2 separate regions of the Mus musculus genome follow, and region 1 is reported to be linked to region 2. Evidence: microRNA targets listed by miRTarBase, many of them from high-throughput screens and not tested one by one. Region 2 holds a microRNA gene; the other region holds the end of a gene's coding sequence.
What was found. Region 2 holds the annotated microRNA mmu-miR-32-5p (UAUUGCACAUUACUAAGUUGCA, at 5,234-5,255, shown strand). A microRNA usually pairs through its seed, bases 2 to 8, with sites in the 3' UTR of a target mRNA and lowers its output. Matches are read on the target gene's strand: a 7mer-m8 pairs with bases 2 to 8, a 7mer-A1 pairs with bases 2 to 7 and ends in A, and an 8mer does both.

Region 1 (8,636 bases), not on the chromosome of region 2:
ACTTTTGTTCGGGACCCACTTGAAGACCAAGCTGCACTTCTGCTACATATGTACGAGGGGCCTAGGTCCAACCCATGCATATTCTTTGGTTGATGGTTGAGTCTCTGAGAGTCCCAAGGGTTCAGGTTAGTTGACTCTGTTTGTCTTCCTGTGGCACTACTATCCCCTCAAAGACTGCAATCCTTCTTCCTATTCTTCTATAAAAGTCCCCAAGCTCTACCCTCTGGCGGTGGATATTATCTCTATCTGTCTGAGTCAGCTGCTGGGTGGAGCCTCTCAGAGGACAGCCATGCTAGACTCCTGTTTGCATTACAACAGAGTATCATTAATAGTGTCAGGGATTGGTTATTGCCCGTGGGATAGATCTCTAGTTGGACAGTTATTGGTTGGCTGTTCTCAGTCTCGGCTCTATCACCAATTCCTGCATTTCCTGTAGATAGGAAAAGTGTTGGGTCAAAAGTTTGTGGGTGGGTTGGTGTCCCTATTGCTCCCCCATGGTTCCTGCCTAGCCACAAGAGGCAGCCTCCCTAGGCTCCATATTCCTAATGCTATGAATCACAGCTAAGGACACCACCACTGATTCTTGGGTGCCTCCCCTATTACAAGTCTCTGTCTCTTCCTGGAAATGCCCCCTACCTAGTCCACCCCCCATCAGTTGCAAATTACCATTCATTCTCATGGCCATCCAGCCATCCTCTTGCCCTGACCCTAGACTTCTCCACTTCCCTCCTGATCCCCTCTCCCACCCAGTTCCCTCTCTCCATATGCCTTCCATGACTATTCCACTCCCCCTTCCAAGTGAGACTTAAGCATCCTCATTTGTGCCTTCCTTCCTGTCCAGCCTCCTTAAGTCTGTGGAATGTAGCATGAGTACTCTGCACTTCATGGCTAATATCCACTTATAAGTAGATACATACCATGCATGTGCTTTTGGGACCTGGTTACCTCACTCAGGATAAGATTCTCAAGTTCCATCCATTTGCCTGCAAAATTCATGATGTCTTTTTTTTTTTTTTTTCCTTAGCTGAATAGTAGTAGTCCATTGTGTAGATGTACCACCTTTTCTTTATCTATTCTTCAATTGAAGGTCATTTAGGTTGTTCCCATCTCCAGAACACCAACAGCTCAGGTTCCAAGATCAGCAACTGATAAGTGGAACTTCAGGAAACTGCAAAGTTTCTGTAAGGCAAAGTACACTGTTGCAAATGAAGTACTGCTTTGAACTTATCAACATCCGTCTATAGCTCCCATTTTATGTAACATCTTATATATGAGGTAATTTTCTGAAGAACTTTTGTCTAAGAAGGTATGAAATAAGGTTGTTGGCTTGGGAGGCTCTGCCCCATCCATCTGTCCATTCATCCAGTTGTGGTGTGTGTGGTGTGTGTGTGTGTGTGTGTGTATGTGTGTGTGTGTGTGTGTGTGTGTGTGTGTGTGTGTACACATATACATGTGTAGGAATATGCAAGCATGCGTGAATACTAGTGGAGTTGATTGAGACAGATGACCATGCCTAACCAAAATACATGTGTGTGTAAATGTGTGTATGTCTATGCATATTTAAATGTGTAAAGGATTTTAATTATTTTCCTTTATTTTTAATATTTTATATATGAGGTAATTCTTTCTTACATAGATTACTTTTTGTCTAAAAGCTATAAGAAGCTGAAAGCAATAAAAGAAAGGTGGTGTAACTGTTTTCTGTTTCACTCAGTATGTGTGTGTGTGTGTGTGTGTGTGAGTGACTCTTTTCCTTTCCTTTCTTCTCTCTCTGGCTCAAAAAGAGTTAGCAAGCCTCTCACCCGGCGAGCAAGGGCTCCTTTGAGTGAGATAGAAGGGAACCCTAACAATTAAGCTTTCTCTCTCTTTTTTTCCCCCTAATCTTATGATGCTAACAGAAAGTGTTTATTACCAGAAACCAATGGCTTTTGGCCTTAAAATAGCAAAGAATTATTGACAGAAGGATTGCCAAAGATAAATAAACTTCGGTCTCTCCACTGACTCCATATCCCTTGGCTGCCTTTTTCAAAGAACTGGTGCCATTGGAGGCCACTGGTACAGGAACACTTGTGGAGTTGATGAGACAAATGGTGGGGTCCAGCTTGTGTGTGTGTGTGAGTCTGTGTGTATGTGTATATGAATGTGTGTATACCTATGCATATTGCCTGTGTAAAAGATTTTATTTTCTTCTCTTGTCTAAGTAGTCCACAAAGAGTTAACAAGCTCAGAGCTTCTTGTCTGGCCAGCAAGAGACTCCTGGCTGGCTGACCAGGGAAAGGAGCCCTAGCAAGAGATCCTTTACTTAATTCTCCACTGCTAAACATTGTTAATTAAACAGTGTTAATCACTAGAAGCTGGCAATTTTTGGTCTTAAGCTAGCAAAGAGTTAATGATAGAAAAAAAATTACCAAAAAGTAAGCTATTTTTGCCTTTGTAATTGCAAGTTTTGCCACTTCAAAGGGCAACACCCCCATTGCTACCTTCCCCAGGAAACTGTATTGCCAGGAAGGTCCCCAACATTTCATATATACACATTTTCTTCATTAAAGTTCCCTAGGTTTGGGACTGGGGGGTAAGCACTCAGGTAATTTCCTGTAAACCTGCTTCCCACCTTAATTTGTAAAATAAAGGAGAGCTAATGATTGGTCAGATAAAAGGGAAGGTGGAACAGAAAGTGAGAGAGAGAAGATAATATTGGAAAAGGAAGAGGACACAGAAGAGGAGGAGGAAGAAGAAAAGCAGAGCAGAAGCACATGGCCTGGAGAAACCACAAGTTCTAAGGGGTCTCATAGATGTGGAAGATGGTAGTGTAGCAGTAGATCTGCCCAATCTAGGTGCACGGCATATATTCATTTTAACTGTGTTGTGTTTTCATTGCTCGGGCCTATTTGGGTTGGAGATTTACCACAACAAAATTAATAGAAGTCTGTGGCTCTAGGTAAAGAGCATAACAGATAGATATTATAATAGGTATTAATTAAATAAATGTCTGCAGCTTCTGGTAGAGAGCACAACAGACAGGATGGCTGCTCTAGGCAGAGAGCTTATTAGTTATGAGAAATTTCATGTCCGGAATTAGATAGGGAATATTAGTCACTGACTCCAAGTAGAGAGAGCAGTGATAATCACCTGCTATGAGCAGGTATTATTTAATAGAAGTCTGTGGCTCCAGGTAGAGAGCATAACAGATAGATATTATAATGGAGATTAATTAAATAAATGTCTGTGGCTCAAGTTTGAGAGCACTCTAATAAATCTTACAGGATACTCATATTGTATCTAACGTGGACTCCATGGGAATTTTGGGTTTAAATCCTGGTTTGACAAGCTGTTTCTTATAAGCAGATATAGAAAGGAGAGGAGAGGAGAGGAGAGGAGAGGAGAGGGGAGGGGAGGGGAGGGGAGGGGAGGGGAGGGGAGGGGAGGGGAGAGGAGAGGAGAGGAGAGGAGAGGAGAGGAGAGGAGAGGAGAGGAGAGGAGAGGAGAGGAGAGGAGAGGAGAGGAGAGGAGAGGAGAGGAGAGGAAAAGGAAAGGAAAATAGAAGTGTGAATTAATTGTTTTAAAGATGGTATAATAAAGTCTGCAGGAGACTCATATTCTGTCTAATGTGGGCTCCAAGGGAATTTTGGGTTTAAATCCTGACATGACAAATTAGAAAGGCCTAAATAGGCTAAAATGTGTGTGATTTTGAGTATTGTGGTGGTTTTATTGTTCCTCTGGGACAGAGAGCAAGCTACAGGTTTTCCTGGTTACCGGATGAAGAATATGCTGATTTGGGGAAAAGGTTTTGTCTTTGTGTTTGGAAAAGGTGATTAAGGTATTTACACTTAAGGTAATTATAATTTATTTATTATGTTGTATATGATATATGTGTGCTCACACACACTTGCTGTGGGGCATGGAGCCATCTTGCTAGCCCTCATTATCATCTCTTAATGTTGAGTAGCAGAATCACATTATATTGCATTTGGAGAATTAAGTGCTTCCTGAATTTTACTGCTAGAAATTGACCTTGCACATCAAAGATTATTTGTTTTAATTTTCTCTTTCTCCAAAGTAGTCATATCACAGAAAAATGTATTTACTATTCCATATTTTTGGTAAATTGCTTCTAGAAGTTAAGCTGAGCTAAATCACACTGCCTCCAGCTGTCTTTTTAGCTGTACCTTTTCAACACAAGACCCCTAGAGATTCATGTTCATTTTCATTTCAGTTATATACTCAAGCTGGAGTGATGAAATGGGAGGATCAGTTTATAAAAGAACATTAATATACTAATGTTGCAAAATATTTATTTTTCATGTGTGGAGGTCAGAGGACAACTTTTGGAAGTCAGTTCTCTCCTTCTACCTTGGGCTCTGGGGACTGAACTCTGGTGGTTAGAGTTGCTTAGCAAGTGCTATGAGCCATGGGGGAACTTCACAGATTCAATATTGACAAAGCTTTAAATACTAACATTTCAGTGGTACCTTTCCTTTCAAGGACAGTTCATGTCTACCATTTATTCCTATGGCTGAGAAGGAAGAAAATAAAATTATTCTGGAAAAAATTGAAATAAGACACAAAACACTGATAGTTTTCCTCAGCTTATATTATTGCAGTCACTTAAGGTGAGTGTAGCTTATAAGATTTATTGTGAAATTATCCAAAAGTTTGACCATAGTTAAAAAAAAAAGAAAGAAAAAAAGAGTTCTGTACTTCAAAAGGGTTTTGATAGCAACATACATATTTTCTGTCACATCCATTACATAACAATTTATTTTATTGCCTGTTTCACATGTGGATATAAACTCTACACACTTGTATCAGGTAGTGGCTGGATATTTTAATTCTACTACTAAATGTATGCTACTACATGTAACCTATGTATGCTATGTAGAAGTAGGCATGCTTTGAATAAGTAATACTTTATACAATACAAAAAATTTGTGGACATAGTGTTTCACATGTAAAATTATCAATAGCTGATATATCACATGACTACTCTGAGCTTTTGGTGGTGTTTTAAGGTCATTTTGCATACGTTTCTTATTAGTTTCAACTCAATCTCTAATTAAATCTAAAGGTTAACTCATGATCCACTGGATGGCAGAAGTAAGACTCGGGTCAGCTGTCTCTCATCCTGTGGCTCTCAACAGCAGTGTTTCCACTTACACATCCACACCATGCAGATCACAAGTCTGTTTTTCAACATGAGTCAGGACGGGGCTGTGGTTATTAATGATAGAATATTTAAGTGAGGAGGCCACCTGCTTCATTCTGTAGCTATGGAACTGAGACTCTCAGTGGCCAGTAAACTTCATGTTATTTTTCATTAAGAAGAAACTCTAAATCCATGTTTCTTTTCTATATATCATAAGGGTGAGCACTATATATATATAAAACACTTGTATTCAGGCATCACAAAAGGATGTTATTGCAGCATTCATTCTGGGAGTGATCAAAGATTTTCCCTGATGGAGTAGCCCTTGAAGGCATCCATGACCCACATATACTACATGAATTAGTGTGTGTGAATAAAGTATATAGTGAGAAAGATGTTTTCAGAACAGAGTTGAACAAAATGTTTTCAGAACCTTGGATATGTTGAGATTCAGAGCATCTGATATATGCAAAAATGAGTGTATCCTTTTGGCATGAATGTGTGTTAATAAGACTAGGGTTTTGCATTGTGGAAGACTTTTAGTAGGCGTTCTACTGTTCTCTGTTTTCCAATATGGTATAACTTGCTGCTATTCTTTGAGAATTTCATACATGTATGCAAAGTGTTCCAATCATATTCACCACCACCTTGTCCTCCAACTCCTCCAAACTTCATGTCCTTTTCTTTTTATAAATCCCATTGAGTCCAATTAATGCTGCTAATTCACAATTAATTCACCAATTAATGCTGTTCATAATGCATGGATATGGGGTCATTCACTGGAGCACAGTCAATTACTGGGGACATACTTGGGAATAAGAACTGTCTGCTTCTCTCCTAGTAGCTATTGACTGTCAATAGCTTCTCAGGTAGGAGTGAGGATGCCCTTGCTCTTCTTCCATCCTGTGGGGATGTTGCCTGGCTTGATTCTGTGCAGGTCTTGTGGCTATAAATTCATGAGTGCAATGGTTCTCTCAAGCCCAGAAGATGTTTCTTACCCAGTCCTCCCTGACCTCTGGATCTTACAGTTTTGCTGCCCTGGCTTCCATGATATTTCCTGCACCTTTTTGGGGAGAGTTCTTATTTTGTGGCTGTGCACTTCACAGCCTCCAATTCTCCATGCTCTGACTAGTTTGGAGACCTTGCATTGACCACTGGCCACTGCACAAAGACTCTTCTCTGGTGAGGTTTGTGAACTTCACTAATCTAAAGGTTTTGAGACCCCCCTTCCTGGAAGGCAGTTTGATGCTATAACACGGTACTTTGAATGCAGTTTGAATGAGAACCGCTGGAAACCATTTATCTATTCTTTTATTTTCACATACATAGAAACAGCTTAAACTTTATAGTGGGTTTTAAAACACAAACAAATATATAAACACTTTATTGCACATGGGAAATATTTTGGACAAAGGACTGGGAAAGACACAAACAGGTTATGTGACAAGACTGGAGTTATTCCAAGGTCAAACCACAGGGTGTGTCCTGACAGAGATCTGCCACTACACGTATTGCACTTTTCTTTCCAGCACTTTGAAATCTGCTCTACAAATATTACTCATATGCTGTGCTTTTGTTTTCTTCCTTGAAATACGCTACAGAGGTTTTTAAAGGTTAAGAAATATGTACCATTGAAAATTAGCTGTCTACACGGAGGAAGTTAAAGAAAAGGCCACTCTTATTCTTTGGGGGAGAACAATTGACAAAATAATGAGGCAAAGTTTCTGTAAATAGATGGAGTTACTGCAAAGCTTGGTTTCATAAGCATTGTTCTATTTGTGAATGCTTTTTGAATTTAAGAAAATCATTAATCAGTCAAATCTTCCTGTACCTACATTCAGCTCTTCCTACCACTGAAACCCCTCCAAATAGTGCAAATGCGTAAAGGCACTGGCTGTAGCAGTCATTCGGCAATAAATAGTAACTCTAGAGCTAGTCAGTTCTATTCATTCTAGGTTTAAAAAAAAATAAAGTGCGTTGATGAGGCTTCATAGCCATCCTCTCATCCTTGATGTGATTAGCAGTCAGTTGGTGACAGTTTCAGCTCCTGGTCAAGGGATCTTCCTGGATCTTCTTCCTCATGTCCCACAGTTCTATCTGGAGTTGATCCAGGATGATGTAAAGTTGGTTTGTGCAGTCTTTGTGGAAAATTCAACTGCAGAGCAGTATCCAGTTACACAACTTTCCTGTGGTGCTATGGCACAGTCATTTATACATCTATGTATCCTCGTCATCTGGAGGGCTTGCTGCAGACCCAGTGGAAGTTTGCCTCACAGTCCACAGCGGTAACATTTTTGTGGTTCACGGACACGCACCTCCCAGACCCCGTCAAGTTGAACCTGTCAAGCCATAGAGACACTCAGATTTATTTCCAGCCCATCATTTCTAGCCAGTTACACGACAGTCAACTTTGCAGGGGCCTCTGCCTTTTCTGTTTGCTCCCTGAGTAGGAAGCACAAAACACAAGACATCCAGCCAAGTAGCCGTGGTTTAATGTGTAGAGGCAACAGAAAACACTGGGAGGGGATTATTGGTAGAGAAAGTAGGCAAAGCTAAAGGCTCTATTTTTCTGATTTTAATGGGCATTCCAGCAAAATTCATTATCATATTTCCCCCATAGATCCTTCAAAAAGCACAGTTTAGGGGCTTAGGGAATGATCATAGGTAATTTCACCAAATACTGATATTTTATTTAGACCATCAGTGGTTTTCTTGTATTCCTTGGTAGCCTAGCCATTGGGCCACATGCCAAAAGTCCCTTTACCAGAAATGCAATTTGTTTGTTTTTGAAAGAGGGTTTCACTATTAGACTAGGTTAGTCTTGGGTTTGCAGAAATTCACCTCCCTCTGCCTTTTGGGTGCTGAAACTAAAAGCATGTAACTCTGTGACTAATTCAGAAATATAGATTTTTAATACTGATAATTGTATCAGACATTATAGAAATGTTAAGAGAGTGAGAAATTTATTCAACTCAGAGTTTACATAGTGTAAAGATCAACACTAAACTTATAGAATGTTCCTCAAAACGTGAAGTCTGACTTAGTAATAGGTAGTGACAGTGTCTTTATTGCTGGGGGTATGTGTGAATTTTCCATAGATTCAGATACTTATTATTAGGCACTAAACTATTGCCCTTTGTCCCTATAGGGATGAAAACTGGGAAATGGAATTGAAGCAGGGAATTCTTTCCCAGCAACTACTTCACCGCCCTTCACGAGAAGTGTCCTGAGTCTGTGTCAAACTCACTAAGGCTACTACTGCTCACACTAGTGTTTTGCTAAGACAAAGTTAAGTGATGCGACGGAGTTACTAACAGTAAAGGATGACTCTCAATAATTCCAAAGAGCATAATACGCATAAAAGCAGTGATGGGAGCTGTGTGAGGAAGAACTGAACCACCATGAACAATGGAACTTAGAAAGAAGAGAAGGAAGGAAATGTTAAAAAAAAAAAGAAGAAGAAGAAGAAGAAAGAAGAAAAGGAATCTATGTC
Region 2 (8,636 bases):
GCGACTGGACCAGAGCTACTGCCTTAGAAAGGTACCAAAGAGAACTGCAGATGTCAGGGTTCTGGTGCTAGCTGCAGCAACCCTTTGTGACTGAGCTCGTGTCTATAAAGCTATCCACATTGCTTCCCTCACAGCACTGTCCTGGGAACATTCAGTAGCTGGCAGAACTCGTCCTCCTGACCCTTTTGGTTCCTGTTTCGTTAGGAGGAGGGACCCACTTGGGAAGAACAGACATTATAAGGGGTTTTAGTTGATGAAGGCACAAGAAATGAAACGGAGACCTGAGAAGACATTGACATCTCTCTTTGCTCATGTTTTACCAACAGTGTACACAACCAACTTGATAACTGCTTCTCTTCAATTTATAGGTGATAGTGAGCTTAGTCTGTCCCAGGAAAGGCTCTGTCATTGATCCTTGCCTCTTCATTATTTTCATTGTTGATTTCAAGACTTTGGAATAATACATTATATTTATAGTTGAATCAGAGTTAGAGATGGAAAGGATAGAGGGTAGTTAGCTAATCTAATGCGTGACCTACACTTACAGCCCTCCAAAGTAAATAGATCCACAGAGAGATCACGTATTCTTCTGTAGACATACATATATTCTGTTTTTATAGTTAAAATTCATAGAATATATAAAAATCCTGTGTTTTAAAGAGAGCATAATAGAAGCTGGCCATGGTTGTGCATACCTTTAATCCCAGCATGTGGGAGGCAGAGGCAAATAAATCTCTGTAAGTTCGAGGCCAGCCAGGTCTATAAAGGGAGTTCCAGGGTAGCCAGGGCTGCTCCACAGAGAAACTCAGTTTTGAGAAACCAAACTAACCAAATAAAACCAGCATAATAGAGTGAAATGTCTATGATAGTTGCGGTACTATTTTAAGTGTTATTTGGAGTGGATTCATTATAACTACTTAGCCATTTTCTTTACTATTGAACTAGATGTTTTGGGATTTTTTTCTGCTTATAAAGCAGGCAGCAGTTTTTACGTTTTCCACTATGGCTAGTAAGACAGTGCCCTAAAAGCACACTGTGTGGCTACGGCTGTCCCCTTTATGAGGATTTGTGTTGACCCCAGCTGTCCCTCTCCGTCAGATCCTGGAGTCTCTGTGGATTGTTATGAGCCGGAACGTGAGCCTGCTGTTCACCACAGTCACCACCCTGCTGACCATCCTCTTCTACAGTGGCACTGCCCTTCTCAACTTCGTGCTGTCTCTGGTAGGTACATTTAGACAGCACCCATTGTATTCCCTTATGGATTACAGCATTTCCTGGGCTCTGTTTTTGCGCATGTATAGCTTTTATACGCTCATAAATGTGATTTTTAGGAGATCCTGTCCTTTGTTTTGCAGATAATTTTCCTGACCACACTGTTTTATCTGTTAAGTTCCAGTGATGAGTACTACAAGCCAGTGAAGTGGGTGATCAGCCTGACACCACTTTCTCAGCCAGGCCCTTCCTCTAACATCATCGGCCAGTCTGTGGAAGAGGCGATCAGGTAGGGACAAGAGCATGCTGTTCTTACTAGCGTCCCGTGGCATCCCGGTTACCTTCCTTGTATTCATAGAAACATTCAGTGTGGAAGTAGTGAAGGATGCCAGTGCTTTCAAGACCTTTATCTTACTTTAAGAAGGTCCTAGGAGCAGAGCACATGCTTTGAGGGAAAGTTCCCAGGAGTTTGTCACTCTATTCTGCTGCTGTGATTTACAAAGACCTGATATGTGTTCACAGATCGGCTTTAGTCCGGTTTCCATAACCTTGGCATTTGCTCAGGAGAACGCCTCCTCCTCCCACATTGTCTTTACCTCCTGGGGCCCTTCTCTGACTTCAGGACCCTCCTGTTTTGTCTCTCTTGTTATGTTCAACTGACCCAACAGTTGTCTGTGTCTGTGTGAAATGCCCTCAGCTTTTCTCCCCATTCCTACTCAGGAAGCCTGGGGAAGGTCTTTATTAATGATGAAAATTGCAACAATAGGTTATCTTTTGTTTATCTGCTTTTTAAAAAGTCTTTTGTAATCATTGTTACCCTAAAAGGAAAAGGGAACAAAACAGACAAAACCCCTCTCTTCCCAGTAGCATAAAAATAGCCTTTGAGAGGCTGGCAGCCATCTTGGTCAGTCTTCAGTCTGGCTGAGGCAGAGCTGTCCGGGAGGACAGGTGCATTGCCCAGGAAGATCCTTTAAAGGCCAGCTCTGCTCTAGCTTTGCACTGTTGCCCTTCTCATAGAAGCTTCACCTTCTGCTGTGTCCCTACTGCGCTTTCTACAGGGAGCAGCTTTCTGACTGACATCAAGGTGCTTTTATGCAAGATACTTCTGCACCCTCCCCAGCCCAGGATCCCCTCCCCTCCCCTCCCCTTCTCTCCCCCCCCCCCTCTCTCTCTCTCTCTGTCTCTCTCTCTGTCTCTCTCTCTCTCTCTCCTGACTCTTCCTTTGCCACCCAGGCTGGCTTTGAACTGGATATCTCCTGTCTCTCTCTGTTTCCTGAACGCTAGGGTTACTAGGATTACGAATGCACACTACCATGCTAGGCCTTGTCACTTAACATTGGCACTGTCGTCCTGTTGGATCTGAAAGCTGATGGGTGGGTTTGGATGGCCATCTTCCACTGTGACTGGCTTTTGCATTCTGCAGCCCTGTGTGCTGTTCCTTTACAAAGTTGTAATAAATACTTAATATGTTTGAGTTTTGCATGGGCTCCTTTGAGGAGTCTTCAGGAGAAAAGCGTCAGTGCACTGTGTCTAAAAGTTAAGTAGGAATTTTCATCCTCTGCCCCTACAGGCGTTGCAGGTGTGGCTGCTGTGTCACATGTGTGTCAGTAGGTGGCAGAGAGGAGAGAGGCTATGTCTACGCTCAGTGTTCTGACCTGTGAACATCTGAATGATTAGTAGCCTAACATTCCCTGAAAAAAGTGAGCCTGAGATATCCACCAGTCTGGTGCCAGAGGGCCCAGACAGGGAGCTAACCTGAGACAACTGCTATTCCTGTACCAGGCAGATCTGGAAGGGCTCCCAGGACAAGCAAGCTGGAGACTAGAAGAGCTCTGCCTGGGACCAGAGGCCCCAGGCATGAGTGAGCCCAAGACAGACCGCCACTTGGGTAGGCCGGAAGAGGAGTGAGTCTCAGATGAGATGAACTCCAGTCTTGTGCCACGCTGGCCTGGGGGTATAGACCATGCTTGAGATGAGCCCTGCCTGGTGCCATAATGCACGAGCGGGACCTAGCACTTCTGAGACCACTCCTGAGACGACCCCAGACACTCGGAGAACCCAGGCGCCACTAAGAGGAGCAAGTGAGTGGTTGAGAAATAGAAGACAAAGAGAAATAAGGATGTGGTCACAATGAAGAGAGGCAGAACTGGACAATTACGGGTAATGAGGAGCAGCCTCATGTGAATAGCCAGTGATGCCACCTGAGACCATGGTTGGGTCCTAGCCTGTGCTGCTACTGGAGGCCACATCTGGGACGGATGTTGCCACCAAAAGCAAGGCAGACATCCCTGGTCTGGGCTGCCAACTGTGGCCTTGTTGATCTCCGAGGGCTATGCTCGGCCCTGTCTTCACCTGGGCGTGTGGGAGAGTTAGCTCTAGAGGTATGAATGTAGGATCCCTGAACCTAGCCAGCTGCCGTACTCAGGAAAGCAGCAGGTGAGTTGGGCCTGAGCATGGGACAGCTGGCCCTACCACTCATCTCCCTGTGGTTGCTTAGATGAGGGAAAGAGTCCCTTCTCCCCTGTCCTGGACCTGGGGTCATAGAGCAGAAGAGCTGGCCCTGTCCTTCACCAGCAGCAGCACTCAGAAGAGCAGCCTCTGCACCTCACTTGGGCACAGCAGAGCTGACCAGGGTAGCTGAGGTTATGGGTGTGAGAGCGTGAGAGCCAGCCCTGCCTCTTGCCTGTTGGATGGTGGTGTTGAGGAGGGAGAGATACCTTACTTCCCCTCCCTCATTTTTGGCAGACGGGAGAGCTGGCCCTGGGATTCTGAGAGTGAGAGAACTGGCCATGCCCCTCACTGGATGCAACGCTTGGAAGAGCAGACCCTGCACCTCACCTGGGCAGCAGGATAGAGCTGGGCCTGGTGTGGGGCTGCAGAGCATGAGAGCCGGTGGGCTGACCAGGTCAGATACCTCTCAGGCCCAGATCCAGGGCTTTGAATTGGCCCACTCCAACATCTACCCCATCAGTGAACTGCTAGAGTGTACAAAGGGGCACTACAGATCCAAAGCCTATCTCCATGACACAGGGCAACCACAGGGTATATGAGAGGAGGCCCAGTGAGGTTCCAGTATTGATTGAGTAGTAGAAGCCAGAGGACTTGTACCAGACCAACAAGTCATTGTAATGAACATGTGCAGACAAAGAAGTGTGGACAAAAGGATGTCCTGTGGGACACACTGGGACACACTACAGCTTCCACAGCAACTCTGTTGTAGGGGCAGTTGCAAGGGTGGAGGGGAGGGTTTGGGGGTGTTGGGGGGAGATGAGTGGGATTGGAGTGCATGATGTGAAATTCACAAAGAAAAAATAAAAAATGAAAAAAATTAAGCTTAAAAAGAATTTTCAGCCGGGTGGTGATGGCGCACGCCTTTCATCCCAGCACTTGGGAGGCAGAGGCAGGTGGATTTCTAAGTTCGAGGCCAGCCTGGTCTACAGAGTGAGTTCCAGGACAGCCAGGGCTACATAGAGAAACCCTGTCTCAAAAAAAAAAAAAAAAAAGAAAGAAAGAAAAAAAAGAATTTTCATACTGGAGGATTATGTTCAAGTAGAAATATGATTCTTTGTGGATGAAGATTAATCAACAAACAATTACAAAGATTGTAGTTGATTCTCTGTAAGTGCTCAGTGACAGCAGTTTTATAAATATGTCATCAGTATATGGTCAAATGAAAAATCATGAAGTTGATTTCATATAATACTTTAGTTAGGCATGAGTGAGATTGAGAGTTAGTTGCATGGCATACAGAAGTGTGTGTCCTAAAGATTGCCTCTAAGCTGTGGATTTCCTTTGTGATTACCGTGTGTGACTTTGAAATTTTGAACCTTATTTTAATTTTAAGTTCCTGTTATTCTAAACGGAGTGCATTTGTCACTGAGTTTTCATTTCATCTCAGGATTTTGAGGTAGTGGCATGCATCCTGGATCCCCAGCATTGGCTTCCCTTAGAGCATGCTGTCTCCTGAATGCACACGTCACACCCTTCTCCCCGAGGTTCCCTCTGCTTGCTCTGGTGGAGATATTGCACATTACTAAGTTGCATGTTGTCACGGCCTCAATGCAATTTAGTGTGTGTGATATTTTCACATGAGTGCATGCACACGGGTCTGGGTCTTGCTTGCTGGGATTAGAGCTTTTCCATGCTGGAGGGCTGAACTGGTGCTGAGTTTCATGTGAGGATGAATGCTTTGTAAGGTTTGATTCCGAGAATGGCCATGTTCTACTTCTTCACCCAGTTCTGAAGAAAATAAAAATGTTTTAGTTATTTTTAAAAAGTTAGGGTTGCTTCTTAAGTAAATTAATGTTTTCATTTTCTAATTTGAGTGTATTGTTGACTGAACAAAATTCTTAGAGATTTAAAGATGTAAGTAATACTTGTTTAAAGTAAAATGTGCAGTAACAAATATAAAGATCTCTGTCTGTCTCTCCCTCCCTCCCTCCCCCCCCCCCCCCCCCCAGTTCGGTTGAGAGATGGCTTCTCTGTGTAGCCCTGGCTATCATTGTCCTTGAACTCCCTCTGTAGAAAAGGCTGTAAGTGCTGTTTTTAATATAAACTTAAGTGGTAAATTAATACAGCGGCTGAGTTTCTTTATCCTAGTTAGTTCCCAATAATAACACAGAGACACCAAGAATTATTTTTAAACTTCACCTCAATATCTAGGCAGTCTGTCTTAATCTCCTCCCCTAAGCTAATCTGGCTACCGCCAGCCAAGAATCACAATAATACTTGAAATTATGCTTCTCATGTTTCTGTTGAACTCTCAAGAACTTTCTTCCTTCTCTGAATACCCCCTACCCCGTGTATGTGTGTTGTGTGTGTGTCTTTCCTTCCCCCCCTCCCCCCTTGACTAGCAGAAACCCCACCCTATTCTGTCTTATGCCCAGCCATTGGGTGATCAGCATTTACTTACAAGGAAGAGAATAGTTTGCATATGCTTGGCTCAGGGAGTGCCTCTATTAGGAGGTGTGGTCTTGCTGGAGTAGGTATGGCCTTGTTGAAGGGAGTGCCCACTGTGGAAGTGGGCTTTGAGACCCTCCTAGCCATGTGGGAGACAATGGTCTCCTGTTTGCCTTTGGAATAAGATGTAGAACTCCTCCAGCGCCTTGCGTGCTTGGTCACTGCCATGCTTCCCACCATGATGATAATGGTCTGAACCTGTAAGCCAGCCCCAATTAAATATTTTTCTTTATAAGAGTTGCATTGGTCATGGTGTCTCTTCACAGCAATGGAAACCCTAAGATACAAGGATAATCTTTACATATTACACAAAAACATGCCTATACTAGGCTGACCTTGAACTCAGAGACTCACCTGTCTCTGTTTCCCGTGTTGGGATTAAAGACATGTGCCGCCACTACCACCCAGCATAAAGTTATTTAAACAAACAAAAAAAAAAAGGTGTTTTTGAGCTGCTTGTAGTGGCACATGCCTATAATCCTAGCATTTGAGAGCCTGAGGCAGGAGGATTGCTGTAAGTTCTAGGCCAGTTTGAACTACGTAGAGAGTTTAAGGTTAGTTTGAGCTATCTATCAAGACACCCCCCCACGCCCCAAAAAAGTGGAATATTTGAGAATCCTAGCATTGTAATAGAATTTCTTATGCATACTTTGGGAAATTAACTGGAGTAATAATGCCTTTTAGCTGAGTGGTTAGAGGTTAGTGTAATATACTTGAATGTTTGTTTTTATTACGTTTAAAGGAAAATAGCCTTTAAAAACGTTGTCTTATATGTAGCTTTTCATTGAGTAAGGTGAAGCGGGAGAGGGGGGAGGGTGAAGGATCTGTGATGGAAGGGAGGTTAGGTATCCAAGCGATAACTAGAAGATACTGGGCATGTGCTTCCAGACTGTTGGCCTATTGATACTGCAATAAATCTGACATAGGGTGCTTTGGATTTCCCTCCTACCTCTAAAGTGTATGTTTAACCTGTAGTTTATGAAGTGTGCAATAGCATTGCCTCTTTAATATAACTATATATACACAAATTAAAATATTTTGCTAAAAATACATTAATGATCAGCTAAGTTGTTGGAAAAAGGAGTCTGGTAGACTGCCTACATTCTGGGTTGACTCAAACTTCAATTTGTTGAAACTAGAATTTCTGCACAGTATATGAATTTGAAGGGACAGTGGTATACCTGTGATCAAGGGAGCTGGCACCGTCCCTAGTCAGCATGGTAGACACTGTCTGTTGCTGCTCAGGGGCCCTCTTCGTTGATGGTGCCATTGTTTTCTGGGGAGAGGATAGTCTGGTGCTCAGCCTATCTTTAGAGAGGTCTTTAGAGAGGAAGGGTGGAAGTAATGTACAGAAATGTGAGGTAGGTGGGGTTTTGGACTCGACTCATTTTCTGTTTCCTTTCTTCCTGAGACGCGTACTTCCTCCTTGTCTGGCTTGTGGTACTTTGTCCCCCAAGCCTGTCTGAGCCGTGACTGTCCTGCTCACTCTGTAACTTGCTTCTGGTTTCACTTCATCCAGAGCAGGTTGAGGGATTGAAGTTGTCTTGTTTCTTCTTCAGTTTAGAAACATGGTTGTGTGAGTGAGGCTTGAAGCACACACTCTTTTAGTGCCACTCACTACAGATATTCTTAGGATTATCAGGGGAAAGGGTGCAGAGGAAAGATAACCCCAGCTCAGGGTAGAAAGAAAGGCTGTGCTCATCCCATAAGTGGTCTGTTTTGGGGTGAGCTGATGTTTGAGTCATCTTTGGGGAGCCTCAGTTGAGTTACTTTATTGTGTCCTTAGTGCCAACTTACTTTTACTATGAAAAACTTGTAAATGAGGTGAGGCTAACGAAAGCCACCTTTCCACACTAGACAAATTCCTCACCCTAGTAGTTCATGTGGTTACTCTTCCTCCCTCCCCAGCTTCCCTTTCCAGTGGTCTCTGAGGAGGCTGCACTCTGATTTTCTCTAATGTAGAAGGGATTCCATGGCCTCTCCTTGGCTGATGTGGCGGTGTCCTCAGGTCTCCGAGAACAGTCACCTTCCCCTTCCTTTCCATGCTTGCCCTTGGAGGGTATCCTGTCCCCTCCTCTAATTGGACTACTGCCCCTTAAGCCTACTAAGCCTCGCCTCTTGTCTTTTCCAGGCCAGCCATTCTCTCTCTCTGCTTATCTATGTTTCCCTATCATTTCTTTTCCTTAGACTTTTCAATTCCTTTGTTTCCTATTGGCTATCTCCTCTCCTTTCTGTCTTTTTGATGTATTTAAATCTGGGTCCATGTTGAGCGAGTCACATGACGCATTCTTGAGTGACACCGTTGGTAAAGTTGGCAAAGGTTTTGCAGATGGAGAAGTATTCATTGATAGCATGTGCCAGAGTACTGTTGCATGACCGTCACTGGACCACAGATCTCACTTGTGCTCTAGGAGCTTCCCTCCTGGGAATCTTTGCAGAAAGCCCGTGTGTGCTTCATGTACTGT

Region 1: the mRNA of Cd69 is a reported target of mmu-miR-32-5p. Seed matches in the 3' UTR shown: 8mer at 6,653-6,660 and 8mer at 6,528-6,535.

The regions. Positions count from the first base shown.
Region 1 is chr6:129,260,888-129,269,523 of GRCm38, forward strand. It overlaps Cd69 (CD69 antigen), which reads right to left. Exons shown (of 5, transcript NM_001033122.4): 5 at 6,437-7,482. The coding sequence ends at 7,374. Among named protein-coding and RNA genes, the nearest start is that of Cd69, 10 kb to the right of the region's middle.
Region 2 is chr4:56,891,891-56,900,526 of GRCm38, reverse strand. Mir32 (microRNA 32) reads left to right here and starts at 5,229; the gene lies at 5,229-5,298. Tmem245 (transmembrane protein 245) reads left to right here. Exons shown (of 18, transcript NM_001369260.1): 13 at 1,099-1,221; 14 at 1,356-1,501. Gm25053 (a small nucleolar RNA gene) reads left to right here and starts at 2,770; the gene lies at 2,770-2,901.